7 linked regions of the Canis lupus familiaris genome follow. The protein of the gene in region 1 purifies or fractionates together with the protein of each later gene. This does not show direct contact. Links are inferred from orthologs where the notes say so. Each region holds a gene or a part of one and is shown in the gene's direction. Other genes may lie near its edges.

The links.
Region 2: the proteins of KPNA2 (region 1) and CTDSPL2 purify together in Homo sapiens (affinity purification with mass spectrometry; 4 studies listed by BioGRID and IntAct, with this or other methods). This does not show direct contact. The link is inferred for Canis lupus familiaris from reciprocal best matches to the Homo sapiens genes KPNA2 and CTDSPL2.
Region 3: the proteins of KPNA2 (region 1) and HECTD1 purify together in Homo sapiens (affinity purification with mass spectrometry; 3 studies listed by BioGRID, with this or other methods). This does not show direct contact. The link is inferred for Canis lupus familiaris from reciprocal best matches to the Homo sapiens genes KPNA2 and HECTD1.
Region 4: the proteins of KPNA2 (region 1) and POLR1E purify together in Homo sapiens (affinity purification with mass spectrometry; 3 studies listed by BioGRID and IntAct, with this or other methods). This does not show direct contact. The link is inferred for Canis lupus familiaris from reciprocal best matches to the Homo sapiens genes KPNA2 and POLR1E.
Region 5: the proteins of KPNA2 (region 1) and POLR3C purify together in Homo sapiens (co-immunoprecipitation; 3 studies listed by BioGRID and IntAct, with this or other methods). This does not show direct contact. The link is inferred for Canis lupus familiaris from reciprocal best matches to the Homo sapiens genes KPNA2 and POLR3C.
Region 6: the proteins of KPNA2 (region 1) and KIFC1 purify together in Homo sapiens (co-immunoprecipitation; 4 studies listed by BioGRID and IntAct, with this or other methods). This does not show direct contact. The link is inferred for Canis lupus familiaris from reciprocal best matches to the Homo sapiens genes KPNA2 and KIFC1.
Region 7: the proteins of KPNA2 (region 1) and NUP153 purify together in Homo sapiens (co-immunoprecipitation; 4 studies listed by BioGRID and IntAct, counting the BioPlex papers as one, with this or other methods). This does not show direct contact. The link is inferred for Canis lupus familiaris from reciprocal best matches to the Homo sapiens genes KPNA2 and NUP153.

The regions. Positions count from the first base shown.
Region 1 is NC_049230.1:14,367,791-14,372,343, forward strand, and holds the start of KPNA2 (importin subunit alpha-1), read left to right. Parts: upstream 1-1,617; 5' UTR 1,618-1,775; intron 1,776-2,162; exon of another isoform or gene 2,163-2,298; intron 2,299-3,074; 5' UTR 3,075-3,097; coding exon 3,098-3,172; intron 3,173-3,320; coding exon 3,321-3,458; intron 3,459-4,553.
Region 2 is NC_049251.1:11,450,853-11,454,751, forward strand, and holds part of CTDSPL2 (CTD small phosphatase-like protein 2), read left to right. Parts: intron 1-2,695; coding exon 2,696-2,911; intron 2,912-3,899. UniProt on the Homo sapiens protein: Probable phosphatase.
Region 3 is NC_049229.1:10,607,204-10,611,102, reverse strand, and holds part of HECTD1 (E3 ubiquitin-protein ligase HECTD1), read left to right. Parts: intron 1-439; coding exon 440-667; intron 668-1,442; coding exon 1,443-1,724; intron 1,725-1,819; coding exon 1,820-2,090; intron 2,091-2,623; coding exon 2,624-2,700; intron 2,701-2,784; coding exon 2,785-2,883; intron 2,884-3,899. UniProt on the Homo sapiens protein: E3 ubiquitin-protein ligase which accepts ubiquitin from an E2 ubiquitin-conjugating enzyme in the form of a thioester and then directly transfers the ubiquitin to targeted substrates.
Region 4 is NC_049232.1:54,129,824-54,133,722, forward strand, and holds part of POLR1E (DNA-directed RNA polymerase I subunit RPA49), read left to right. Parts: intron 1-73; coding exon 74-159; intron 160-2,503; coding exon 2,504-2,562; intron 2,563-3,552; coding exon 3,553-3,697; intron 3,698-3,899. UniProt on the Homo sapiens protein: Component of RNA polymerase I (Pol I), a DNA-dependent RNA polymerase which synthesizes ribosomal RNA precursors using the four ribonucleoside triphosphates as substrates.
Region 5 is NC_049238.1:59,294,159-59,298,057, forward strand, and holds part of POLR3C (DNA-directed RNA polymerase III subunit RPC3), read left to right. Parts: intron 1-351; coding exon 352-607; intron 608-717; coding exon 718-903; intron 904-1,948; coding exon 1,949-2,037; intron 2,038-3,044; coding exon 3,045-3,149; intron 3,150-3,282; coding exon 3,283-3,375; intron 3,376-3,899. UniProt on the Homo sapiens protein: DNA-dependent RNA polymerase catalyzes the transcription of DNA into RNA using the four ribonucleoside triphosphates as substrates.
Region 6 is NC_049233.1:2,985,422-2,989,885, forward strand, and holds the start of KIFC1 (kinesin-like protein KIFC1), read left to right. Parts: upstream 1-1,630; 5' UTR 1,631-1,645; coding exon 1,646-1,711; intron 1,712-1,754; exon of another isoform or gene 1,755-2,009; intron 2,010-2,056; exon of another isoform or gene 2,057-2,575; intron 2,576-3,218; exon of another isoform or gene 3,219-3,594; intron 3,595-4,464. UniProt on the Homo sapiens protein: Minus end-directed microtubule-dependent motor required for bipolar spindle formation. May contribute to movement of early endocytic vesicles. Regulates cilium formation and structure.
Region 7 is NC_049256.1:17,841,908-17,845,806, reverse strand, and holds part of NUP153 (nuclear pore complex protein Nup153), read left to right. Parts: intron 1-1,465; coding exon 1,466-2,086; intron 2,087-3,899. UniProt on the Homo sapiens protein: Component of the nuclear pore complex (NPC), a complex required for the trafficking across the nuclear envelope. Functions as a scaffolding element in the nuclear phase of the NPC essential for normal nucleocytoplasmic transport of proteins and mRNAs.

The DNA.
Region 1 (4,553 bases):
TGGTTTCTCTACAATTGTCCTATTCAAATTTCTAGGACTCACATCCCCCAGTTCAGAAGAACAGAGCCTGCTTTCCTATCACCAGTCATTAAACAAAAGGCATAGGCTTCCCGACTGAATGAATTTAGGTCATATGCCTGCGTCTGAACCATTCACAGTAGCCAAGAGAATCCCTTGCAGTGACTGGTTTAGGGGTGAATTCCTTCCACATTTTGCACTTAGGGGGATGGGATCATACTGATTGAATTGGGAGGCGTAGAATCAACTGCTAATGAAGCGCATGGCTGCTACACAATGAATGAGGCTGGCAAAAATGCCTGCAAGAATGGATAAAGTTCAATGTTTGAATTTCTTTATAGTAAAATAAATAAGCCAATACAACATTTCTAAAAATGCCCTTTTTAGAATGCAGAAAAATTGCACAAACAAAAAGGTCTTTAATTCTGATGCTCTGTAACCATTTGTGATGCAAGAAAATGCAAATATTTTATTCAGAGAAGTGTAAAATACAGCATAGAACATATTGGAACAATTGTCAGAACTTGAACACACTACATAATACATGATAGCATCAAAATTCAGTTGTGTTGGGATCCCTCACTGGCTCAGTTGGTAGAGCATGCCACTCTTGATCTTGGGTCATGAGTTTGAGCCTCATGATGGGTGTAGAGATTACTTAAAAAAAAAATCCTAAAACAAAACCAAAAAAAGTTCATTTGTCCTGAATTTGATAACTGTGGTGTAGTCATATAAAAGAATGTTACTAGAAGATACAAAATGAAGTATTTAGTGGTTAAGGGACATAATTTCTGAAATGCTTACAATTGGCTCAGAAATGTATACGTGGCTTTTACATATTACTTTTACTCACATATGTGTGTGTGTGCATGTGTACATAGAGAAATAGCAAATGTGGCAAAATGTTAATATTTGGCCAATCTGGGAATGGATTTGCAATTCTTCTGTATTTGAATTTATTTATTTATTTATTTATTTATTTATTTATTTATTTATTTATTTATTTATTGTATTTGAAATTATTTAAAAGTAAAAGACTGGAGAAATAGGCTTAAGAAACCTTCTGTTTCCATGTTTGTGGCTTCTATGCAGTCTTTTCTAACTCACGTTAAAAAAATAAAAACTAAAAAATGCAGCCCAAACCTGCCTTATCCTTTCCCTCCATAGTGGCCAGAAACCCCTGCCAAGTTCCTACTGTGTCCCATCAAGGAAAAACCTCATAGCAATATGTTTCTATATCAAATTTTTTTTCTTTTTTTACCCACCTCCTCTCTTTCAAGAATTTTAAAGAGCATTATTTTGGAAATCAGTTGTGGTGTTTGGGTTAAAGCAGCTGCCCAGGCAAACGACCTGGGAGCAACCTCACTAGCATGAACCCCCCGCAGAGCCCCTAGATTGAGGCCAAAGTCCAGCGCACTGGCCCGCTGCACGCCGGGATCTGGAGTCTTTCTTCATCCACCTGCAAAGCGCTCTGGGATTGCCTGGCCTCTCCCATATCTCGCGATGCTCTCTTCTCTCCTTCTTAGCCCCATGACCCCCCCAAATCAACGTGTTTTTCAAATCCGCCAATGGGAGCGCAGCGTAGGCTCGAACCAGCCAATCGGAATGCGGGGACACCGGGAAATTTAAATCGCGCCGGCCGGCAGCACGAGCCACACCGTCTCTGGGCTGATCCGCGGTGGACGTTTTGAGGGCAGCTGACCCGCGGCCTGCGCGCCCCGCACCGCCTCCCGTGGAAGCCTGAGCCGGCCGTGGAGGTACGACTGAGGCCAGGGCCCGGCCCGAGCGGCAGCGGCAGGCTGGCAGGCCGCGCCCCGCTTGTGGTGGCGGGAGGGGAGGCCCGGATTCCACGCCCGACCTGGCTGTGGCCTCCGTCGTTGACGAGGCCTGGGGGCGTCGTTCGTTGAGGAGGCGGCCGTGTCGCGGTGCGATTGCTTGGGTTTGGGGGCCGCTGAGGCTCTGCGGACCGCGGCGGGAGCTGCGGCGCGTCGCGGCCCAGAAGATCGCCGAGGCCCGGGCGGCGCTGTCCCCTCTGGCCCCGCCTCCGCCCGTTCCCCGCTGCATCTTCCCGGGTGGGGGGCAGGGGAAGGGCTTGGAGACGGGGCGGGGGGGCGGTGGCAGTTGGAAGAACCGTCTCTTAACACGTAGGCCCAGGCCCGGCTGTGACACAGCGTCGGCAGGGAACATCACGGAATGGAAGACCGCACATTGCCAGGAGGACTTGTACTTTTGTCCTCCCTTGGCGATCGCTCTGAAAGAGCTCTGTTTGAAGGAAGCGGGGTTAGTAGCCGCCTAACTGAGAGCGTTTCTTGGGAATGAAAATGTTTGCCGGGTGCTGAGGATGCAGAATTGGGTCTCGAGGTCTCGGTGTTGACACGCAGGGTTATGGAAGCCTCCGTAACGCGATGATGTGCCACATACTCCTTTAACTTTCAAGTGTGGAGAATGGACCTGTTTGGGCCATTGGGAGAGCCTCCGGAATATGGATTTGTGGCCCGTTAGGACGTCGGTTTTAACTGTGAGCTCAGTTTGCCCCACTCTGTGTTCAGTTGGTCCCAGCTGCACCGTCCAGTGTGGTGTGTGAGTCCTCAAACCGATGTGGCTAGCCCGGATTGAGCTGTGCTGTAAGCCCCAAGTACGCACATGATCTCCGAGTATTAGTATGAAAAGTGTAAAATCTATCTAGCTCGAAATAGGAGAACATGTGGAAAGGAGAGTATAGCGGACGTGTTGGGCCGGAGGGAATAGATTTGAAATTCATTTCTCCCGTTTCTTTTTGCGTTTTTGAAAAAATGTAGTTACCAGGAATTTTCAATTTATGCAGCTTGCTTTCTCTTTCTGATGGACAGCACTGTTCCAGGAAGTCTCAGCCTTTCGGAGAGGAGGGGACTAATACTGTTGGGCCAGTTCAGTATTTCATAGTGCTGAAAAAGGAAGTTAGTCCTCTACTATACAAGTGTGGGTCCAGTATATGCTTGGTAATTCTATTAATGCTCTTCTTATTGACAAAGCAAAATGATAAATGGGAAATTTCTTTCTCTTCCTCCATCTTACAGCTTTCTTCCTTTGTCTCATAACCATGTCCACCAACGAGAATGCTAATTCACCAGCTGCCCGCCTTAACAGATTCAAGAACAAGGGGAAAGACAGTACGGTGAGTATCTTCTGTTGCTTTCCTGTGCTATTTTTTAAATGGAAAGATATTTGGGAAGTGATCAGAACTTTGAGGAAATTTGAAATAAATATTCTCACTTAGCCACAAAAATTGATATAGTGGGTGAAGTGGTTTATCTTCTTCCAAGGAAATGAGGCGGCGCCGAATAGAAGTTAATGTGGAGCTGAGGAAAGCGAAGAAGGATGACCAGATGCTGAAAAGGAGAAATGTAAGCTCATTTCCTGATGACGCTACCTCTCCACTGCAGGAAAACCGCAACAACCAGGTAAATATATATTTTAGATTGTGAATTCTGGCAAACCCACAAAATCAATATGGTGCTTTTCTTAGAAATTTAAGCAAGGAGTCCCTGGGTGGCTCAGTCGCTTAGGCATCTGACTCTTTATTTCATATTTCACCTCAGGTCTTGATCTCAGCATTGTGAGATTGAGCCCCACATTGGGCTCCACACTGGGCACGGAGCCTACTTAAAGAAAGAAAGGAAGAAACTTAAATAATGTTCCTAGCCTAATGGTTTTAATTGTCAACTCTGTTAATGATCTTTTTTTTTTTTTTTTTCTCCCAGTCAGTAATTCTGTTGGGTTGTCTTCTTTCCTGGTCTCCGTAATGTACTGAAACAGATTCTGAAGTCTCCTTTAGCTCTGAACTCCCTTCAGATTTCCCTGCATTTCTAGCCACCAGTTCAGGACCTTGACTGGCCATTCCTGTGTTAACAGAAAGTTCGTGTGTCTAGAACTAGTCACTTTCTGGCTTCTTTGGATGTTCCCTATTTTTTGTATTTGTCACCAGCTTTGTTCAGATCTTTTCCCTCCTGAACTATTTTAGATGGTCTTCTAATTTATCTTTCCCTTCATTCTGTGCCACATACTATTTACCTAAACATAGTCTTAAAAATACTGCTTTAGACCTGTTCTTTCTCTGTTAAAAATTTTGGTAGTTTTAAATCCATATTCTTTGAAGTTTTTTTTTTTTAATTAGATCAATCTTAGGTTTTCAGATTTATCTTTTTGTATCTTTCAAAGATACTGAGAACCTTTAGTAGTTCAAAAAATTGTTTTTCACTGAATAGTTAATACCTATGTGTTATTTCTAGAGTACTATATTCAAATCCCATCTTCTTACAGCACTCCTTGGTCAGCCTAGCAGGAAAAATGTCTCCTTTTTAGAATTCCCATAGCATCCCAGATGTGCACTAAAAATGGAGAGTAAATGCTAACACAATATAAATATTCACCATTTGTTTTATGGTTGTCTGTTTTTCACATTTTCCTTCTTAAGCTGTAAGCACCTGTGGGAAAAGGGGTGTTGTCTTTTTGAGCTAACTATAGCACTGGTTCTCAAACCATTCTACTATGATCAC
Region 2 (3,899 bases), on another chromosome or scaffold:
TAATTAAAAGATGAGGAAGTTATGGTAGGGGATTGATATATTTGAACTTTTGTCTTCAGAGATGAAACTTTTCTTAGTGTGAATATCCAGGTTATGGTCATTGTAGTTACTTAAGAGAGCAGTTATGAATGAAGATAGAGCTAGAGAAGGCAAGACTTTTGAGGATTAGTCTTAGGATGAGTCATTGACATTACTATAATAACTAGGAGGTGTTTAATAGACTGCTGGTGAGGTGTTCAATTCTTCTAATTGAGAGAGGATGCTGGCAGCAGTTAGTAGATGGCAGCAGTGGGATAAGTGAAGAATTATATAGCTAGATGACATCAGTCTCAGGAACAGGTATTTTTTTGCATATTCAGTGGAAAAACCAATGATCTGGTAGCAGAAATGGAGATAAATGAATTCTGATTCAGTTAGTATGTTGAGTATGGAAGAATAAAGAGCTTTGCAGGAAAGATGTCAGGAAAAGAGGTTTTTTGGAAGGGAGTTACATTTAAAGCTATGATGGAGAAAGAACATTCTGTGAGAAAGTTGAGAGTTTAGGAGGTTGATTTTGTTGTTGAAAATGACATTTGGGGGCAGCCCAGGTGGCTCAGCAGTTTAGTGCCACCTTCAGCCCAGGGCATGATCCTGGAGTCTCGCGTTAAGCTCCCTGCATGGAGCCTGCTTCTCCCTCTGCGTGCATCTCTGCCTCTCGCTGTGTCTCTCATGAATAAATATATCAAATTAAAAAGAAAAAAAAAGACATTTGGAGAATTCCATAAAGAAAGAAAAGAGTTGGGTTTATCTAGTAGTGGAAGAATAGGGCAACAGGTTCATCTAGGTGGTAGGCGAGTATGATTAGGAAACTAACTTCAGTCTTTGTTACTAAGATGGAATATTGTTGGGAAATTGTTGTGTCTCTGAATTAAAATATTCTGATGGTTAGGGGAACATTTAGCTCATTCTTGCATAACTACCTCTGATTTTAAAATTACAACTGCCTACAGTGGCTAGGATGCTTAGTATGGAAGGATAAGGATCTGTTTAATGGAAATGATAATGGAAAAAAATACATATAAAATGCCTAGCTCATAGTAGGCACTTAATAAAAGATATTTGCTATATTGAAAAGAAGTTCTATGGTCAACAATACTGTATTGTATACTTCAAAGTTGCAAAGAGACTAGATCTTAGATTTTCTCACCACAAAAATAATGATAATGATGCGGCAGGATAGAGGTGTTAGCTAATGCTAGGTTAGTAGTCATAATGCAGTATATATATAAATGTATTAAATCAACACGTGAATAAGCGTGAAACTTAAACAGTTATATGTCTGTTATATCTCCATAAATTTTTTTTTAATTTTTAAAATCTATTCATGAGAGAGAGGCAGAGACATAGGCAGAGGAGAAGCAGGCTCCCTGTGGGGACCCTGATGTGGGTTTCAATCCCAGGACCCTGGGATCATGACCTGAGTTCAAGGCAGATGCTCAACCACTGAGCCATCCCTCAATAAAAAAATTTTTAAAGTTCTGGGGATCCCTGGGTGGCTCAGCAGTTTGGCACCTGCCTTTGGCCCAGGGCGTGATCCTGGAGTCCCGGGATCAAGTCCTGTGTCAACTCCTGGCATGGGGCCTGCTTCTCCCTCTGCCTGTGTCTCTGCCCCCCCTCCCCTCCCTATGTTTATCATGAATAAATAAATAAAATCTTTAAAAAAAATTTTTTTTTAAAGTTCTAAGTTATAAAAGCTCTAAATAGGTGTTGCTAAACTATTCGAACACTCTTAAAATTTTGTTCATCAGTATCACTTTACCTTATAATAGTCTTTATTCCTGATTATTTGAGATGTATAGAAAAAAAAAAACACTAAACAGTAGTATCCTCAGCTCTATTTCTGTTGCATTTGGTTTTTCCAAATTTTTTAGTTTAGTTTTCATTTTTAAAAAATATTTTATTTATTTATTCATGAGAGACACAGAGAAAGAGAGAGAAAGGCAGAGACACAGGCAGAGGGAGAAGCAGGCTCCATGCAGGGAGCCCGATGTGGGACTTGATCTCCGGACTCCAGGATCATGCCCTGAGCCAAAGGCAGATGCTCAACCTCTGAGCCACCCAGGTGTCCCCCGCCCCCCCTTTTTTTTTCTGTTTTTTGAGTTTATTTTTCAGTATTTCACTTTTATTAAAATATATCTGACATACATTTATGTAAATTTAAGGTAAACAAGTTGGGCAGCCCCGGTGGCTCAGCGGTTTAGCGCTACCATCAGCCCAGGGCATGATCCTGGACACCTGGGATTGAGTCCCACATTGGGTTCCCTGCATGGCTCCTGCTTCTCCCTCTGCCTGTGTCTCTGCCTCTCTCTGTGTCCCTCATGAATAAACAAATAAAATCTTAAAATATATATATAAGGTTAACAAGTTAATTTGATACATTTGTATATTATAATATGATTGCCGTGTAACAATAGTTAGCACCTCTATCACATTACATAATTATCCTTTTTAGTGGTTAGAACAATTAAGCTCTAGTCTCTTAGCAAGTTTGTTGATTATAATACAATATTGTTTATATTCACTCTACAGTGTATTAGGTCTGTAGGGCTTATGTTTGTTTGCTATAAGTCTGTACCCTTAAAAATATCTATCCTATTCCCTACCCCCTTTTGAGTTTTTATATGATGGTTGTCAATACCCTGAATCTTGATTATAGGAACATCAGGATCCGATTCCCCAGGACAGGCTGTGGAAGCTGAAGAAATAGTAAAACAACTTGATATGGAACAGGTGGATGAGATCACTACCAGTACTACTACGTCAACTAATGGAGCGGCTTACTCAAATCAAGCAGTTCAAGTGAGGCCATCGATAAATAATGGTTTAGAAGAAGCAGAAGAAACAGTTAATCGTGATATCCCACCTCTTACAGGTGAATAAAATTCCTTTTCTTAATGCATATTCATGAATAATTTATAAAAATGCAATCTTTCTCATTTTTTTCTTTAATCAATCAAATGCATAAGTTTTTATTTCTTGAACATAAAACAATTAGAATTGGAAATAAAACTTTCTCCCCAAAATCTGCTCATTTTGAATTTGAATTTTTTAAAAGATTGTTTTGACTGAGCATTAGTCATTTTACAGTTTATTTGTACTAATCTAATTACTTAGAGAAATAAATAAGTGAATTTATTTATTTGTTTATTTTTAAGGATTTTATTTATTCATGAGAGACGAGAGAGGGAGAGAGAGGGGGAGAGAGGCAGAAACAAAGGGAGAAGTAGGCTCCCTACTTCTGATATGGGACTGATATGGGACTCGATTCTGGGACTTCAGGACCATGTCCTGGGCCGAAGGCAGGCCCTAAACTGCTGAGCCTGTACTTAGAGAAATTTAATACAAATAGCAAAACATGCTCATGTTTTGTTTTTTTTTTTTAACACAATTATAGATGCATCAGTCTCAGACCTTTCGGTCTGAAGTCCCCACCTAAAGGCAGCCTTCACATTTATTGGACATATAAATGACATCTCCCCAAAAGAAGCTGCTTTTCCTAGATCTTTCCCTACATCCAAACTTTGCAGCCTAATTCTGGATCCTTATAAATGCCTAACATAATTGTTGGGTTCCTGAGCCAGTTGTCATGGAAATGTAGAACATATGAGATCAGAATTTATTACCTCTGAGGGTTGTGGTATATAGACATATAAAGCTAAAAGATAAAACTGTGCCATGATGCTTAAAAGCAGAAATAAAATTGAGAATGGTCATCTTTTCCCAGAGGGACAAGATCTTAGCTTTAATCTTAGATTTGTTTTTTGGTTTTTTATTTCTTAAAATGCCAGATACTTGAGAGACCGTAGCACATATGTATTGGTTCAGAAATGTAGTTTTGTGTAAGGAAGTAGAATGATGTT
Region 3 (3,899 bases), on another chromosome or scaffold:
TACATAAAAGAATTTGGGGCACCTAGGTGGCCCAGGTGGTTGAGCATTGGACTCTTGATTTCTCCTTAAGTTGTGCTCTCATGGTCATAGGATCAATCTCTGTGTCAGGCTCCGTACTTAGCAAGGAGTTGGCTTGGAATTTTCTCTCTCTCCCCCTCTGCCCTTTCCCCTGCTTGTGTTCTCCCCCTCTCTAAAATAAATTAAAGTAAAAACTTTTTAGAAAGTAAAATAGCTCATTTTTTAACTTTGATAACATGTTGAAATGATGATGCCTTACATACATTGGCTAAATTAAATATATTCAAATAAATTTGTTTTGCTTTACTTTTTAAAATGTGACTACTAATAAATTTGTAAAGCATGTTGTGCTTTCTGTGATGCTAGAAAATTAAAATTGGACTTACTGCATTCTTTTATTAATTTTCATTTACTGTTGTAGGTGTTAGAACTGATATGTACTCGAGAATCAGGAGCAGTGTTTGAGGCTGGTGGTTTGAATTGTGTGCTTACCTTCATTCGTGACAGTGGACACTTGGTTCATAAAGATACCTTGCACTCTGCCATGGCTGTGGTATCAAGACTCTGTGGCAAGATGGAACCTCAAGATTCTTCTTTAGAAATTTGTGTGGAATCTCTGTCTAGTTTATTAAAACATGAAGATCATCAGGTAAATAAATCCCTGTTATATACTTTGTATTCAAAAAGTGATTTTATAGTGTCTCCTATTTATAACTCTGATACACTGTTATTTCAGCTTTTCACTTGATGAACTAGAGGTAATTCCATTTTCTCTTTTTTCTCATTTCATATTTCTGTATGGTAATCTTTGTTTTGGCAGTGAGACATTTTAAGTTATAGAAGTGATATGTTTATTTTTTTAATTTAAATGTTTCAGAAATACATAATTTTTAAAGCTGCATTATGCTCAGTGTGATTTGTTGACTCAGCACAAGTTGCTGACTTAAAGAGATAGTTCTCACTGAAGTAAAATAACACAGTATTTAAAATCTTTTATGTGTAAAGTTTTTTTTTGAATTAGATTTTAGAAAATAAAACTTTTAAATGCCTTTTTACTATTTTGTTAATTATTTTTGGTTGATATTCATAGATATTTTGGCAGAATTGTTCATAATAATAGTTAATATTTATTGAGCTTTTACTGTCCATCTAGATTCTTTATGTATGTCATCTTATTTAAGGTTGGACAGTGAATTATAGGTACTTTTATCTCCATTTTACAGATAAGGGAACTGAGGCCTTGAGCAGTTAAGTAATAACCTGAGGTCATACAGTTGGGCAGAATGTGGACCCAGGATTAAAATCTAGGCAGATTATATGCCTTATATCGTTGCTATAGCTGGCATTCTTAAATCTCAGTAATGAAATTAGCAGTACCCTTTTTAGGAACATTTTATCTATATGCATATTCTTTACATCATTAGGTTTCAGATGGAGCCCTACGGTGCTTTGCATCACTAGCTGACCGATTTACCCGTCGTGGTGTTGACCCAGCTCCATTAGCCAAGCATGGATTAACTGAGGAGCTGTTATCTCGCATGGCTGCTGCTGGTGGTACTGTATCAGGGCCATCATCAGCTTGTAAACCTGGTCGCAGCACTGCAGGAGCACCTTCCACGGCTGCAGATTCCAAATTGAGTAACCAGGTGTCAACAATTGTAAGCCTGCTCTCAACACTTTGCAGAGGCTCTCCAGTAGTCACACATGTAAGAATGTTTTTGAATATGTGATTTTTAATCTTTCAGTAAAAGTATTTTGCATAATGTAAATATATTAAACAGTTCTCCCATTCCGTTTCTAGGATCTCCTGAGGTCAGAACTTCCAGATTCAATTGAAAGTGCATTGCAGGGTGATGAAAGATGTGTGCTTGATACCATGCGTTTGGTTGACCTTCTCTTGGTGCTATTATTTGAAGGACGAAAAGCTTTGCCAAAGTCTAGTGCTGGATCTACAGGCAGAATCCCAGGACTTCGGAGATTGGATAGCTCTGGGGAGCGCTCACATCGGCAGCTTATAGACTGTATTCGAAGTAAAGATACCGATGCACTTATAGATGCAATTGACACAGGAGGTTGGAAAATATTTTTTAAAATATAAAAAGAAAACAGATAGGAATTATATAGGCAATTTCTAGTTTCTAGATTTTAGACCAGTATTATTAGCAGTTGGGCCAGATAATAGAAAGGCCACCAACCACCTCTGCACCCTTTCCTCTCCCCATGTATATAATTATCGGCCTGGTGCATGGTAAGACCTGAGTAAATGCCTATTAACAGAGTAAATGAAATGAATAAAGGAAACTAGTACCCTGTTGAATTGTGTTATATATTTAGGTTTTTGGTTTTTTTTCTTCTTATTTTATCTTTATTTTTAAGGGCCTAAAGCCTTGTGAATCCTCAGTGGTTTAAAAATTTTAGAATATCTTTTCTTAGCAGAATTTGTTTGTGGACTATTAACTACTATAGAGTTGATCCAAATGTTTAAAATTGATTCTGTATTTAGTGACTATTAATAATAATTTTTAAATGGTTCCCATTGTAGAAAAGTTCAGTATTACTGTGTTAGATTTTTAAAAATTTATTTTTCTCCTTGAAACTTTTCCAGCCTTTGAAGTAAATTTTATGGATGATGTGGGTCAGACTCTATTAAACTGGGCCTCTGCTTTTGGAACTCAGGAAATGGTAAGCTAATATATAAAAGCTCATGTTTTAAATAAAGATAGAACTATTAATAAGGCAACTTTATGATTCTTCATAATTTTACAGGTAGAATTTCTTTGTGAAAGAGGTGCTGATGTTAATAGGGGTCAAAGGTCATCATCATTACATTATGCTGCATGTTTTGGAAGACCTCAAGTAGCAAAGGTAAAATCCAGGTTTTTAAATTACTAATTTAATATTTAACATTTACATGGTTCCAAAATTAGAATGATATAAAAACTTTTATTTTGATGATAAGTCATTCTTCCATGCCATCTCCATTCACCATATTCCCCATTGTTCACTGTAGGTAAGCATGTTTTATTTATCTTTTTAGTATTTCTTAACATAGATACAAACAAAAAGAAATATATATGTTTATTCTCTCTTTTTCTAATACAAAATATAACATATTACATACATATTGAAGACCTCTTCCTATTAGCATTTATTTATTATTATTTTTTTAGAGATTTTATTTATTTATTCATGGAAGACACAGGGAGAGAGAGAGAGAGGCAGAGACACAGGCAGAGAGAGCAGCAGGCTCCATGCAGGGAACCCGACGTGGGCCTCCATCCTGGGTCTCCAGGAACACATCCTGGGCTGAAGGCGGCGCTAAACCGCTGAGCCACGGGGGCTGCCTCCTATTAGCATTTAGATAGCTTTTTTACATCTGTATACTTGCCCTGTGGATATACTGCAAATTTATTTAACCAGTCACCTGTTGCTAAACACTAATTTTTCCAATTTTTTTACTCTTGGCACCAAATAATTTTGTACATATTTGTGTTGTTTTTGTTATCATTAAAGCAGATAATTTATTTGCTGAAGGATAATATCTTTGATTTCCAGATTAGCAAAGGACATTGGAAAGTTCTTTTTATAGTTAGGAAAAATTGAGAAGGTTCAGAGAGGTCAAATGATAAGGGTTGGACCTGATGTGTGAATGATCTAGGTCTCTAAAATCTTCATAATGTGAAGTAATTTGGCACATGCAATGTTAATCTGCTAAGCCAGGCACACTTGGATTTAAGCTTTAGCTTATTAGCAAAACAGTTTTTTGGCCTTGGGCAAGTTTCTTTAGTTTGACTTGCAGTATTCTCAGATAAATGTGTATACATTCATATCATGATTATTATTATAATCAGAAAAAATACATTAAAAAACATGTAGTATAG
Region 4 (3,899 bases), on another chromosome or scaffold:
AGGAAAAAGGAAGTTGTAAAACAGTACTTTTTGAGGAATCCTTTGTCATTGGTATTATTCCAACTTTGCTCAGGCACTTTGTGGGAATTCTCAACAAGACCTCTGGCCAGATGCAAGTGTATGATGCTGAATTGTTCAACATGCAGCCACTGTTTGCAGGTAGGACCCAGTCACGAAGGCTTGCAAGAACACTGCATGTTTTAGGTTTGCTGGATGAGTTTGGTTTTGATTTGTAAAACACATTTGTTATTTTTAAAAGGGTGCCTTCCTGCAAATATTTATTGATAACTTACTTTGCTCCAGGCACAAGTTAGTGGCTAGGGATGTAGCAGAACAGATACAGGTCCTGTCGCTGCTATGTTTACAGATTTGAGATCAGAAAATAATCAGTTAAAGCCATTTGAGCAGGGTTGCCTGGGTGGATCAGTTAAGCGTCTGCCTTTGGCTCAGGTCATGATCTCAGGGTCCTGCTCAGCAGGGAGTCTGCTTCTCCCTCTTTCTCTGTGCTTGTGGTCTCTCACTCTCAAATCAGTGAATAAAATCTTTAAAAGGTGGGGAGGGAGACTAAAAGGTGGTGAGGGGGACGCCTGGGTGGCTCAGCGTCTGCCTTCTGGGTGGCTCAGGGGCTGCCCTGGAGTAGAGGCTTTAGAGAAGATGGGAGTTACTTAGAGGTTAGACAGCCCTTTTCATGTTGATGAGAAGTCTCTCTATACTTTCTAATTAGGAGGAGATCCATTTTTTCCCCTAATTTAGTGAGAGAGCTTGTACTGCTTCTCTTCTTTGGCATTTTATGATGCTCAGGGCCAGAGTGTGGGATCTTCCAGAATGATAGGTCAGAGGGTCAGACTCAAGGGGCTCCTGTTCTCTAAATCTTAAATACTGAGAACCACAGTGAGGGAGGGTATAGTTGAGGAAGGATTGTTAGGGTCACAGTAGATCTGCCTGATGCCTTCCAAGGCAGTAGTTCTGGCTTTATTCCTGCAGAGCAGTGGTGCCAGTCCTTTCAAGAATCTGAAGGACCAGGGGATCCCTGGGTGGCTCAGCGGTTTAGAGCCTGCCTTTGGCCCAGGGCGCGATCCTGGAGTCCCGGGATCGAGTCCCATGTCGGGCTCCCAGCATGGAGCCTGCTTCTCCCTCTGCCTGTGTCTCTGCCTCTCTCTCTCTCTCTCTATGTCTATCATAAATAAATAAATAAATCTTAAAAAAAAAAGAAAGAATCTGAAGGACTGGACCTACTTTCCAGAAACATACGTAATACGTAAGAATATATATGAAATTTTGCATATAATTGTAAAGGGCTCTGAGTCCCATCTGCGACTCTCCTAGGGGTCCAGAGTCTGTAGGTTAAGGACTCCTTGCTTTGCGAACAAATACATCTACATTTAAATTATCCTCCAGGGCAGCCGGGGTGGCTCAGGGAGTTTAGCTGCTGCCTTCAGCCCAGGGCGTGATCCTGGACCCAGATCGAGTCCCACGGGCTTCCTGCAGGGAACCTGCTTCTCCCTCTGCCTCTGCCTCTGTCTCTGTCTCTGCCTCCCCCTCCCTCTCCCTCTCTCTCTCTGTTTCCCATGAATAAATAAATAAAATCTTTAAAATAAATAAATAATCCTCCAAGTGCTCTTCTGACTTCCAAGGAGGCAAAGGAAATTGTTCTCAAATTTTTGTTTTTACAGGTAAAAAATGTGTAAATACTAGTTTATTCTAGCCAACATATATATACACGTACACACACATGCAGCATTTATTGAGTCCTTAACTATTTGTCAGGCACTGTTCTAAGTACTTTTAATGCACGAGGATTGTCATAATTCATGTGACAACCCTCTGGTGGTTCTATCGATGACGAAACTGGTACAGAGTTTGACAGGGACATAATGTTGATGTGTGTGTGTGTGTGTGTATATATATATATACACACACCTTTATATATAATTATAATGTGTATATATAAAAATATAAATTTCCTTTATCCGTCTTTATCTATCTATATGACCTGGGATTGAAACTCAGACAAGGCCACTCTAGAGCTTATACTCCTACCCTCTAGATTATACTGCCCTTATATGAATACTTTATGGGAGATAAGAGAGCTTCATGTAAGTAACACATACCTTACATTTATGCTTGCTTATCTTTTATAAGGCGGGCAAAACTATTTACTGCAAAGAGCCGAGGACTTGGTTTCTAATCCCATCTCGGCCACTGCCTGGTGAACTGACTTAGGACAAATCATTTCGTTGGGAGGCTTTTTCCTTATTTGTAAAATGAAGAGGTTGGACCAGATGACCCCTTCATTTGACTCCTTAATTTCTTCTCCATATCCTCCAACTGTATACTAAAGCGACAGACTAAATATTCATAGGATCCATCATGTTAAACTCTGGGAAGTCCTACAGTAAAGAAATCTGTCTGTCTTAGATTAACAGTGAATAAATATTAAATGCTATTATAATCTGGGCCTTACAGCTTCCTTTTTTCCTATTTTTGTTTTGTGTCTTGATAGATGAATCACTTGAGAGCGACTTGACACAAGAGAGTCAGGCCAAAACTTTTAGAGAAAAGGTAAGAATGACAGAAGTGAGACATGGGACCTGCCTCACGTTCCTTCTGTGCCTTGTGCTTCTCCATCAGGAAAATGAGCTGACTGAGCACAGGGCTGCTCCCAGCTCATTCTGTCTGTGGTTCTCCAGTCAGCCTGCCTGTGGAGGCTTCTCAGCTTCACAGAGCGCCGTCCTCCCGCCTGGGGCAGCTATACTCAGCTCCATCCCAGTGTTTGGAACTGATTCTCTGGGCTGACATAGGTGTAGTGTAACACTTGTTTTTGGATTGAATGCAAGTTTCAGAAAATTCTGGCTGTAGCCTGGAAGCTTTCACATTAAAACAGAGTAAACTTCAGGATTTTCAGCGTAGGTGGTTCCTATAAAGCTAATCTCACTCCAGGATTGCAAATTGATTGAGTCTTCAGTGCTGCCTGGAGCACTGTATTGAGAAGGTGTGAGGCTGTCTTCAGGCTCAGTGGGAAAGAGTGAGTGATTAGCAACATCTGCTATGGGTGTAAGGCTGGAAAATGGTAAGTTATGTGCCAGATTTACCAATCCTCATTCTGATCCAGGCTTTTCACTGTACAAATGGAGACACTGTTGATTTGTAAAGAGCCCATGACAGTTTCCAAAGCAAGTACTTCAGGGATCCCTGGGTGGCGTAGCGGTTTGGTGCCTGCCTTTGGCCCAGGGCGCGATCCTGGAGATCCGGGATCGAGTCCCACGTCGGGCTCCCGGTGCATGGAGCCTGCTTCTCCCTCTGCCTGTGTCTCTGCCTCTCTCTCTCACTGTGTGCCTATCATAAATAAATAAAAATTAAAAAAAAAAATTAGCCAAAGCAGGTACTTCAGATCTGCTAATACACCAGCCTGTGAGATAGAGAGGTATGATTTAGCCTGATTTATAGGTGAGGTAATCCTGGCCTAGAAAGGCTGAGTTTCCGCATGGTCACACAGCTAGGAGTAGTAGTGCCCAGACTGTCCCTACACAAACCAAATTTGTCTATGCACAGATGGATTCTTGCATTGAAGCCTTTGGAACCACCAAACAGAAGCGGGCTTTGAACTCCAGAAGAATGAACACAGTTGGCAGTGAATCTCTGAACTGTGCAGTAGCTAAAGCTGCAGAGAATATTATTGATGCGAAGGGTGTAACTGGTAAGCAGCTGGGACTTGGAGTAAGAGTCTGCTCATTGAGACAGCTTCCTTGTCTCTTGAGATCTCTTACCTGCTCCACAGATGGAAATAAGGGTGTGTTAGGGCTGGGTTCCTTCCTCACTCTCACTGAGCACCTTCTTGGGAACAGACTTTGGAAATAGTAAGAAACATCTGCCCTCAGGGAGCTCACAGTCAAGCGGAG
Region 5 (3,899 bases), on another chromosome or scaffold:
TCCATTCACATGTGATTCTTTTTTTTTTTTTTTTAAGATTTTATTTATTTGACAGAAAGCACAAGCAGGGGGAGTGGGAGACGGAGAAGCAGGCTCCCCGCTGAGCAGGGGGCCCCATAAGGGACTCAATACCAAGACCCAGGGATCACAACCCCAGCCAAAGGCAGACGCTCAATCTCTGAGCCACCAGGTGCCCCTTGACATGTGATTCTCAATAGCTTATCCAAATGGAGGGAGGGAAGAAGCACAGAGATCCTTAGCCAGCTCTTAGTAAATTATTAGACAAAAATTGGCAACAAAAATGAGCTATGACTTCAGATCTTTTCTTTCTTTCTTTTGCGTCCTATCTAGGTAAAAAAAGCCCTCTGTGTGCTTATCCAACATAACCTGGTGATATATCAAGTGCACAAACGTGGTGTAGTGGAGTATGAAGCCCAGTGCAGCCGCGTATTGCGAATGCTTAGGTATCCCCGGTACATCTATACTGCCAAAACACTGTACAGTGACACCGGAGAACTCATTGTTGAGGAGCTGCTATTGAATGGCAAAATGACAATGTCAGCTGTTGTGAAGAAAGTGGCAGACCGGCTCACAGAGACTATGGAGGGTTAGTACTGTACTCATAGCTGTTAGCAAAAGCGTAGATTGGCTGGCTGCAGGACTGGAACTTCAGCTAACTTAGGCAATCTCATCTGCCACTTTCATCCTGTTGTACAGATGGCAAGACCATGGACTATGCTGAGGTATCAAACACATTTGTGCGACTAGCAGACACACACTTTGTACAGCGTTGCCCCTGGGTGCCTGCCACTGAGAATTCAGACCCAGGGCCACTGCCACCTGCCCCCATTCTTGTGATCAGTGAAAAGGACATGTACCTGGTTCCAAAACTGAGCTTGATCGGTAAGGAATTTTGACCCCTGAAACTATGATTTGCCCTGGTTGTGGATTCTTCTTCAAAGATTGTTAAATTAGTGAATGAATCGATCAAGCAGTTACCAAATATTTACTCTATGCCAGATACTGTGGTGTAAAATGAAAAAACAAGTCCCTGACCTTTTGGGGCTTAAGACTAATATAAAAAAGACTTGAGTTACATTACTCAAATAATCAGATAGATGTATAACTAAGAAACTGATTAGTACTATGAATGAAAAGTATGAGATGTTATGAAAATATGTAACAGGGAACCAAATTTTTCAGGATTTAGAGCACACGCTTCTCTGAGAAAGTAGCAGTTGAGCTAAGATTTGAAACAGAAGCAGGAACTAACCAGTGAGGTAATGTATGAAGGAGTACAGAGGATAAATATTTTTACAAAAGGAATAGTGTACAATGAGAAAAAAATAGGATATTTGAGGAAGTAAAAGATGGGTCAGTGTAATTAAGGCATGGTGAGCAAAGAGAGCCATGAGATGAGGATAGAAAGATAGGGGCTAGATCATACAAGACGTTATACAGACAGCATCTGTTCTTTATCCTAAGAGCAAAGGAAAACTACTAAAGGATTTAAAGGAAGTGACATGATCTAATTTGCATTTTTAAAAGATTTTCCTGCTTGTAGATAGGATAGGGCAAAGGTAAAATGTAGACAAACCCAGTGAAAAATTAGATACAGAAAGGGTAAAGGAGACAGAAGTACTAAATGACATTTGTGTGTCTGACTTGCATGTGGGGGGAGGATGAATGGTCCTACTCACTGAAAGGAAGCGTTTGGAACAGGAACAGTTTGAGGTAGAAAGATTAGAACTTTCTTTTTTGAATATGTTGAGCTTCAAATGACTTCATCATTACTTCGAATTTCTTGGAGCTCCTCAGCCTCCCCAGCCACTTTAACCTAGAGGCAGCTGGAGATGTCTTGGGATAGAGGGAAACCTGCTCTCAGATTCAGTGATTTCCTGTCTTCATATGAGATGTAGCATAACTGTTTGCCTGTTTTATTTATCAGGGAAAGGTAAAAGGAGAAGATCATCTGATGAAGATGCTGCTGGGGAGCCCAAGGCCAAGAGACCAAAACACAACACAGATAACAAAGAGGTAATGGGGCTTAGGGGTCCTCACCCTAAGGCAAGGCAGAAAGATAACAAAGGTAACAGGCCCCAAGAGATTTACAAGGTCCTTGATTGAGAAGTAGTAGGATTAGGGATCCCTGGGTAGCACAGCGGTTTAGCACCTGCCTTTGGCCCACGGCGTGATCCTGGAGACCCGGGATCCAATCCCACGTCGGGCTCCGGGTGCATGGAGCCTGCTTTTCCCTCTGCCTATGTCTCTGCCTCTCTCTCTCTTTCTCTCTCTCTCTCTCTCTGTGTGTGACTATCATAAATAAATAAATAAACATTTAAAAAAAAAGATTTATAAAAAAAAAAAAGTAGTAGGATTAGTAGGATTATGAACTTCATTCAATATTGACCAAGAATGAACTAACAAAGTGTAAACTCCATTACTTTCTCCTTTCTGAGGCTTCATCATTAAACAGAGGTCAGATCTTATGCCAAAAAAGGGCCTTCTGTTTTCTCTCTGAAATAAGAGGCAAGGTCATGTGCTGAGAGTGGGAAGAGAGGGGTAAATAGAAAATTTAAGGATACTGGAGAAGAGTTCAGATAGAGAAAGATTAGGTAAATTCAGAGGTGAGTTTAAGGGATGCCTGGGTGGCTCAGTGGTTGAGCGGCTGCCTTTGGCTCAGGGCATGATTCTGGAGTTCTGGGATTGAGTCCTGCATCAGGCTCCCTGCATGGAGCCTGCTTCTCCCTCTGTCTACGTCTCTGCCTCTCTCTCTGTGTCTCTCATGAATGAATGAATGAATGAATGAATGAATGAATAAATAAATAGAGGTGAGTTTAGAGAATCTGAATTGGGTATTGTAAATTTGTGTCATCAAGGCCCTGATCCACATGATTGAATGATTTTTTTTTTTCCACCCCACGTGGTTGCTACTGAATAGGAAAAAAAATAGTGAACAGTTAAATCCAAGCTCCTCGCCAGAAAACTCTTCCCCATATTCACGGTATCTAAATGTTTCTCTCTAATCCTTTTCTCCTCCTCAGCCCATTCCAGATGATGGGATTTATTGGCAGGCCAACCTTGACAGATTCCATCAGCACTTCCGTGACCAAGCCATTGTCAGTGCAGTTGCCAACAGGATGGACCAGGTGGTATCTAAGTGGGTGGGACGGTGTCCCAAATCAGGAGCATTCACTTATTTGCCAGATGTAGCCATTGGCATATAGCCAGAGTCAGCACAGTGGAGTGAATTCTGAATTGTAGTTCACTTTTCAAACCCAGACCAGCAGTGAGATCGTGCGGACTATGCTTCGGATGAGTGAGATTACTACTCCCTCTACTGCCCCCTTCACCCAGCCGTTGTCTTCCAATGAGGTGATCTTCATGTTCTTGTACTACTTTTCTAACAGACTGCGGATGTGATGATTCTTATACACAGAGCCTGGGATTAGGTTGAGATCTGAGCCTTTGAAAGAGTTTTTATTGTTTGAGGTGGGACAGGGATTCTCTTCAAGTGTTAGGTACTGAAATATTGGTCTCTGGGGATCCATCCTTAAAAAACCTAAACCATTCTCCTAGCCAAAGTACAGCTATTCCCAGTTGTTCTAAGAATCCACTATCTGGAATCTGAGAACCTTTGTTGGTACTCAGAACATCATTTGGCTTCTTGTATTGCTTTTGTTCAGTATACTAGTTTTATGTATCTTAAATTTGTTTTTAGTATATCTGTTTCTTAAAATATAAATATTTAATGTACCAAATACATTTTATTTATATTCTATTTCATAATTATATTTATCCATATTATAGTTATATTTTCAGTTCATATTATTTTTAAAATTTTAAACTTATAACAAAAATTTCAGGTTTTTTTTCTTTCAATACAGTAATTATGTGAC
Region 6 (4,464 bases), on another chromosome or scaffold:
CTTCCTTTCAGTCTCATCAATAAAATCCCTGTCCCACCTCCAGGTTGGTTGGAAACTCCGACGAATAAATGCAGTACAATCACTGCAAATTCCTCGCAGGTGAAGGGTTTGATGTCTTTGACACTAAGATTGTTAGAGGTTGTGTGGGGTAACATATAGCTTGGATTTTGAAGCTGCTGGAATCTAGATCCACTCCCGATCATGAGTGTGACCTTGTGCTTGGATACCTAACCTTTCTAAGCCTACCTTTGTCCAGCTTGCAGAGAAGGGATGCAAAACACTCGACCGTAGTAAGAGCTCAATGAATTTAGCGATTATTAAGAGATAATGCACGTGCAGACAGCCTGAGAAGCATAGAAACTTCCTAAATGTAAGCAGTCTGCCGTCCGTGGGATGGAGGCTCCGGAGCCCTAAGGCAGCTCCAGCACCGGTACCGGCGCCCAGGTACCGAGGACATGGGGTGCCGAGGGGGACTGCAGGGAAAACCCCTCTGAGCCTCGAATCCCCACTGTCGGGCTTCCAGGAGCGCCAAGCTGCACCTCAAGTCCCTAGGTTTGGGGGGAAATGCCAAAATGACTGGGGAGGGGGTAGACGCGGCCACTCTCACGCCACCGGCGGGCTCCTGCTCCCACTTCCCGGGAGCTTTAGGGACCTCGCCTCCGCGGCGAGGCGCCGAGTCACGAACCCTAATCGCACAGACGCGGCCGGGGGTAACGGGGGTGCTCCCCGCCGCACTCGCTGGGGGCGGGGGCTGCCCCGTCGCGTCCCTCCCCCTAAGCGAGTCCCGTGTGCTCTCGCGTGATTCCTTTCTCCCAGCGTCCCCGCCCCCACCCCGCTGAGTTCGCGCGGCGCCGTCCGGGAATGCTCTGACGTGACGTGCTGCAGCCGGGAGCCGAGCGGAAGTGCAGCCCGACCCCGGCTGGAGGCGGGGTGGGCGAGAGAGGTGGGAGGGCAGCCGGAAGTGTGACTAACCTCCTGCCTCCCGCGCGCCGGCGAAGCAGGAAGGGGAAGGTGCCGGCCTGGCGGGGTGTGGCCTCCAGAGGCAGGGGGCGCTGCGATTGGTCTCGGCCGTGGCGACGGCGACGATTGGCCCTTGCGTGCGGAGGGAGGTGAGAAGGGTGGCGACGGTTGGAATTCAAAAGTGGCGGGTGTGGCGTCGGTCGGGAGCCCCGGAGCCCCGCACACGCGTGGCTTGTGTCGCAAGCCGGAGAGAGAACGCGGGTCCCGGAAGCCCCGGCGCCCTGTCCTCTTCCGGCGGGCGCCCCTGGCGCGTGTGGGCCGGTGCTGGCCATGGAGCCGCAGGTGAGTAGGGCCGCGAGGGGTCTCCTGCCCGCGACGCTGGCGAGCCCCCGGCCCCCGGCCGGCCTCGGTCCTGCCTCGTGGAGAGCAGAGGCCCGTGCGTCCTCGCGCAGGGGACAGGCGGGAGGGAGAGGGCTGGGAGCAGCCCCGGGGCGTCGGGGTGCACGTCTGCCAGCCCTCCCCGCTCTGATTGATGTCTCCAGGATTTTTCGATTTCGAATTCTCGGGCTTATCTGACTCTGTACCCACCTCTCCATTCCTGCCAGCGATTGCAGTGTGTGATTGAGAGGAGTTCTGAGATTCCGTCTCCCTCGGGGAAGTGGTGCCTGAGGCCAAATCCGCGCTGATGATCTTTCCTGTTCTCTCCGGTTGCTGTCGCTTCGGAGGGCGGGAAGGGGATAGAGGGAATGCGGTAATCTGAACTGAAGGATTCCTCATTCTCTCTCCTTCGTCAGGTTTTACAGAGATCTCTGCCCCTGGGACTTAGTTTCTTCTCTTATCGGTGGCCCTACTGCACTTCACAACCATCAGCAGCCTCCCCTCTCCAGTCGAGAGAGATGTGTGACAGCCAGAGTGTATTGACTTTTGGTGCCAGAGAAATGCTCCTGCCTGGATCCTCTGTTTGCTAGTATTTCACATTCAGATTTACCCAAAGCAGGTTTCAGACTGAAGAGATATTGTTTGTATCCCGACAGCTAAAGAGCAGATGAGTATGATGTGACCGTGAAAAACAGTAGAAGCCTTCTCATATTTACTGAGCACCTACTGTGTACCAGGCACAGTGGTAGATACTTGGGATGCAGCAACAAACAAGACAAATCCCTGTCGTCCCTACAGATGCCATTCTATGAGAAGCTGCCATTCTGTGGGGAGCCAGGAAATATAAGTTACATAACTCTATTTCAAAGTGATGAATGCTATGAACAGAAGGAAAAACTTGAGCAGATTAAGGAAGAGGAGGGGAGGCCAACTTGCAGGATACAGTATTAAATAGGGTGGTCTTAGTAAGCTCCATTATGAAGATGAAAGTTGAATAAGTGCTTTGAACAAGATGATGGACAAAGGCTAGTGATTACTGAGGGAAGAGCGTTCCAGGCAGAGGGAATCTGCTAGAGCAAAGTCCTTCAAGAATTGTGTAGCAAAAGCTAAAATGGAGTGAGCAAGGGGGCAAATTGTGGGAGGGGAAGTCAGAGCATGGAGAGTGGGATTGTCGACCCCATTGCTTCTTGTTGGGGCTTTGTTGTGAGGCCCTTGACTTTTGGATGGTTTTAAGCAGGTAAGATCTGTCTTACATTTTAAGAGGATCACTCTAGCTGCCACACTGAGAGTAAACATCAAGGGTAAGGAAAGAAACAAGGAGGACTGTTAGGAAGGAATACAGCAGTTTTTCTCAACTTCCATACTATTGACATTTTTACTGTAGGGGCTGTCCTATACATGGTCTGATGGTAGCAGCATTCCTGGCCTCTGCCCACTAGATGTCAGTAGCAACTCCCACCTAATCAATGTCAAACTGTCTCCGGACCTCATCAAATGCCCCCTAGGGAGTCAAATCACCCCCAGTTGATAACCAGTGGAGAATGATAACCTGAGAGGTGATGCTGACATGGATCGGGGTTGTAGCAGTGGAAGTAGTAACATGTGGTCAGTTCTGTCATCCTTTGCTGACATTAGATGTGGTATGTAAGAGAATGAGAAGACTTGGGATTTTTTGGCTTGAACAACTGAAAGATATATATCAACTGGGATGGAGAAAGCTGTAAGAGGACCAAGTTCGAAAGGGATTTGGACATTAGAAAGTCCATTTGGATGTAAGTTTGACACGTTTATTGGACTTCCAAGTGGAGACATTGAGAAGGTAGTTGCATAGAAGTTCAGGAACAAGGTCTGGGCTAGAGGTATAAATCTTGGAGTTGTCAGCGTATGGATGAGAGTGCACTGGAATGTGGATAGAGAATAGAAAGACCATCATTAAAGTTTGGAAAGATGAGGAGGACCTGCCGTGAGAGATGGGGAAACCAAGAGAGGATGGTCTCCTGGAAGCTCAATGAAGAAAGTGTATTAAGGACGTGAGAGTGAGCAGCTCTATCAAATGCTGTGATAGGTCAAGAAGCAGGAAGATGCAGAGTTGACATAGCAACACACAATGTACTTGTGACCTCAAGGAGAGTAGTTTTGATGACACAGTGAGAGTGAAGGCCTGATTGGGATGAGTTTAGGAGAGAATCTGGACATGGTCAATATTCTAGTGAACACTTAAGGGTTTTGCTGCAGAGAGTAACAAAAAGCTGACAGGTAAAGCAGAGTCAAGAAACTCTTTTCAGTTTGGAAGAAATAATAGCATGTGTTATAATACAGATAGGAATGATCCAGTAGAGTGAAAAGTTGATGGTGTAGAGGAGAAATGGAAGGATTGATAGGATTCTTTCCCAATAGATAGATGAAGGACTGGAGTCTGATGTATACATGGAAGGGAAGCATTTCTCTTATGCTTTTCATTGTGGATAGTTGGGAGTCATTGTGTCTGGCTCTATATCACAGATGGGAAGAGAATTAATACTGTACTCTTTGGAGTTGTCCTTAATAAACAAACCTTTGAGGGGCACATGGGTGGCTCAGTGGTTGAGCATCTCCTTCGGCTCGGGTGATCCTGGGGTCTTGGGATCGAGTCCCACATCAGGCTCCCTACAGGGAACCTGTCTGGAAGGGCAGGGATTTTGTTCATTACACTCACCTCACCTTCTAGAACAATGTCTGGTCCAGAGCAGTCTTGCAACAAATCTTAGTGCAACAAATCCTTATTGGATGAAGGAAGAAAGGAATGATGAATTTTCTCTACCTGTCATATCCCTCATCATCTACTTCTTCACATTGCTTCACACTACTTTTTTGGTACAAATCTAGTCTTACTACTCTCCTAACTAAAAACCACCATCAGGGTCCCTCTTGCCTTCAGTAAATGCTAGACTCCTTATCATGGCATACTGCCTGCCATGCACACTCCATGTGTCAGCTGAACAGAACAACTTGGCATCCTTGCATGCACCCGTCCTTGCTTTCTGCCTGGGAGGCTCCTCCTTGGCCCAGGTCCCCTGGCTAAGTCTTTCTCATCATCCAGGTTTTGCCTAAAAAGACTTTTTAGAGGTGTTCTCTGACACTCTCCGC
Region 7 (3,899 bases), on another chromosome or scaffold:
CCTGGGCTAGAATTAACTGAGTAGTAGAGAGGCCTTGCATTCCTACGGTTGATCTCTGTATAAGTCATACTCTGCATTCATGGTGCCCTTCCCCCTTTCAGTTTTCCTTAAATAGCAAGAATTTGGAGGAGTCCTGTCTTTTGAGGGAAATTAGGAAAACCTGAGAAAGGTGAAGGAAAGGATAGTTACTTGAGATAGTTACTGTTACAATTGTGCTAACCTTAGTGATGCAGATCAATCATTAACAAGATAGTACATTTTAGACCACTGGGAGTATTGAAGTATGTGCGTGTTTTGCCTTTTGGCTAAAACTAGCTCAAGATTGAGTTAATTGTAGCACTAGAAAATCTCTTTATAGTCTTCTGTTCTATCTTACCCTCCAATTTTTTTTCCTTTGGTGTTAAAAGCTGGACAAACAGGTCACTGAGTTTGTTGGTATATATAATTGGTCCAAAGTAAAGAATTGGAAGGAAGGTCATTCTCAAGAATAAAGTTGGAGTGAATCAACCCAATTCAATGACAGCAGTTTCGGTAGCATGAAGACGTTTTTTCAACTCCTCTTGTTCCGTGGTTCTGTGTGAATAACCTTAATTGTCTAAGTACATAGTGGTTACAAAAATGTATACTTACAATGTTAAAGGAGAACTGTTTGAGACAGTTTGTTTGAAGTAGGGTTTGGTTAACATTCCATGGGCATGTTTCTGAGTAGCATGAATTCATGCTCTACCCGAGTAGACTGCGTCTTCATCATTTCTGTATTTCTAGGGCTTGCCAGATGGTTTGGTTCATCTCTGTTGGAATTTGTCATTATAATTCTCATTGAACCATTACCATTTTAAAGTTCTATATAAGCTTAGTATAATTAAAACCAATCCCTACCATTGCATTGTACTTTGGAGGGACATCTGTCTAATATGTGTACCTATGCATCTCTGCTGATTTTTACTGAAAGTAGAGGATACCACAATTGTGGATTATAACTGGACAAAATTCAAATACTATAGATGTTGAAGACATTTGGCATAGCCAGGAACACCTGAAAGAAAAAAATAGATGAGGGAGGAAGGCTATGAATGTACTGTATATTCGTGTAGCGAGGCAGAGTGTTGCAAAACATGGATGACAGTGGTACGTGTCAGTAAAATACTACAAATTAAAGCCTCAAATTAGATATTGGTTAAATTATAGTAAGTAGAAATTCCTAAAGGAAGAAGGTGATAAACTGTAAACAAAACATCTTTTAAAGAATTTTAATGAGGCCTAAGTGTCACTTATTAATTACATGATTATTAAATATTGCTTAGGTAAAAACTCTATTTTTAAGTAGTCCATGTTGAATTTTAGTAACTGTATAAATGTGTATAAATATATGTTCTCCCAATAATAACATTTCAGATCATGTTCTGATTAGGAAGCTTCCTTAACTTTTTTTTTTCCTTACACTCTCCTCTTTCCCTCCTTATAGGTTTCATATCACCAAAGGCAGATTCTCTTGCTGCTCAGCCTACTACCACAAGCCCAGTTGTTTATACAAGACCAGCAATAAGTAGCTTTTCTTCTAGTGGCATCGGGTTTGGGGAAAGTTTAAAAGCTGGATCATCGTGGCAGTGCGATACTTGTCTACTCCAGAACAAAGTTACAGACAGCAAGTGCGTAGCCTGCCAAGCAACAAAATTGCCGCCAAAAGATAATGCTAATAAACAAACTGGAATTGGAACACCAAGTAAAAGTGACAAATCAACTCTTTCTGCATCAGGGACAGGTTTTGGAGACAAATTTAAACCAGCAGTAGGCACTTGGGATTGTGATACGTGCCTAGTGCAGAATAAACCCGAAGCGATAAAATGCGTGGCCTGTGAAACACCGAAGCCTGGGACTGGTGTTAAGCGAGTCCTTACGTTGCCTGCAGCCTCAGAGAGCGCCGTGACTGCGGCTGCTTCATCGGCCACCTGCACTGTGACCACTGCTGCCTTAGGGTTTGCAGATCAGTTTAAAAGGCCTGTGGGATCTTGGGAGTGTCCAGTATGCTGTGTTTTTAATAATGGAGAAGACAGTAAATGTGTGTCCTGTGTGTCTGAGAAACCAGGTACGTGTATGGCTCTTTGGGAAAAGTTTGCTCATTATTTTGGTAGGACATTTAAATGTATTGTCTGCTAAGAACCACCTTAATGTTTGTAATGTGTAAGGATGAGCATTTCCTCATACATCTTCATTTGCCTCAGCTATCTTGAGGTCAAGTGACTTGCCTGAGGCTGGATCTGTGTGTTATCTTAGGTGGTGCATTAGCCAGCCCAATATATACTTGTACCTCTTTTTTTACATACATTTTTGTCAGAAACTACTTGTTCTTGGTTATCATTTTCAAAGTTGACTAATACAGAAGCTGAAAGATCTTAAAAGGAACAGTTGTTCCCAAAACAAACACCACTTTATCTCTGTTTTGAAGTGAGGACGGCAAGTGGTCATTCCAGAGAAGGTTTCACCAGGGAGTAGACAATACTGCTTTGTGAAAAGACTGTTGTTGAATGTTAATGGTGATACCTATACCTGTGTGGTCTCTGCCAAGATGTTGCAATGATAGTAAATTACTGAATCTAACTTGGCAGTAAAAAACATGGAGTTAGATTTGAGTTTTTTGTTTCTCTGTTCTAATTTGAAAAAGTTATTGGAAATTCACAACTGGAAAGGACTCTGCTGTTTTTATAATATATAATTATTTGGTATAGATATATGGTAACATAGGTACTAAGTAAAAAGTGTTAAGAATATCATCGGAATTATACTTATTTTTTTATTGCATTATTCATGGATATGTAGTTTTTATGTCTGCAATGGAAAGTTGATTTGTTAACCTGTATACCCTATGTGTGAACACAAGAGGTGAGCCTTATTTCTAATTCTTACTGGACATGTCCACAAGAATAAGATTTCAGAATCTTCATTCTGAAATAACTTTCTTTTTCTATGTGGCATTCCTCCTCCTCACCTAAAAAAATAAGTAAATAAAAAAGCAAGCCTTTGCTTGTGGAAGAAACCAAAATTAATTCTGAGTTGATTGGGAGAATAAAACTGAGTTAGAAAGTAAATTCCTTCCACAAATAAAGGAAGCTCAAAAATTTATTCAAGCAGTCAAGCTTCAGTCTTGTAAATGATGAACCATCATTATAAGCAGAGGAGTGATCCAGTTAAATTTGTATGTTTGACAAATTGCTTCGTGGGTTTTTGGAGGATAGATTTGAAGGCAACAAAATTTGGAGACCAGAGGGCAGATGAGGATGTATCAGGAGTACATGTGGGCAAAGATCATGGCAATGGAGATACTAAGGGAGTCAAATCAGGATGTAGAATAATACATGGTTGATTTGAAGGTGTGAAGTTGGCACATAAATGCAAAGCCTTTAGATACATTACACATGCATGTTCGGGGCTGGAAATACAAATTTGGGAGTCATTAGGCTCTAGTTTTCAAATAAGAGATGGGAGCAGAGATGGATGTGAAGTGAGGGACTGGCCTAAAACTGAACTCTGTTAGCTTACGGGAACTGGCAGGAACGAAACCATTCTGTTAGCTTATGGGGAGTGGCAGGAACAAAACTTTGGAACAGTTAATATTGTATTTTATTTTATATTATTTTATTATTTTATTTTATTTTTTATTATTTTTTATTTTATTTTTTTATTTTTATTTTTATTTCATTTACTTTTTACTTTACTTTTTAAAGATTTTATTTATTCATGGGAGAGAGGCAGACACACAGGCAGAGGGAGAAGCAGGCTCCATGCAGGCAGCCCGACATGGGACTCAATCCCGGGACTCCAGGATCATATGCCCTGGGCCGATGGTGGCACTAAACCACTGAGCCACCCGGGCTGCTTAATCTTTTAAAGGAGGGACTGGG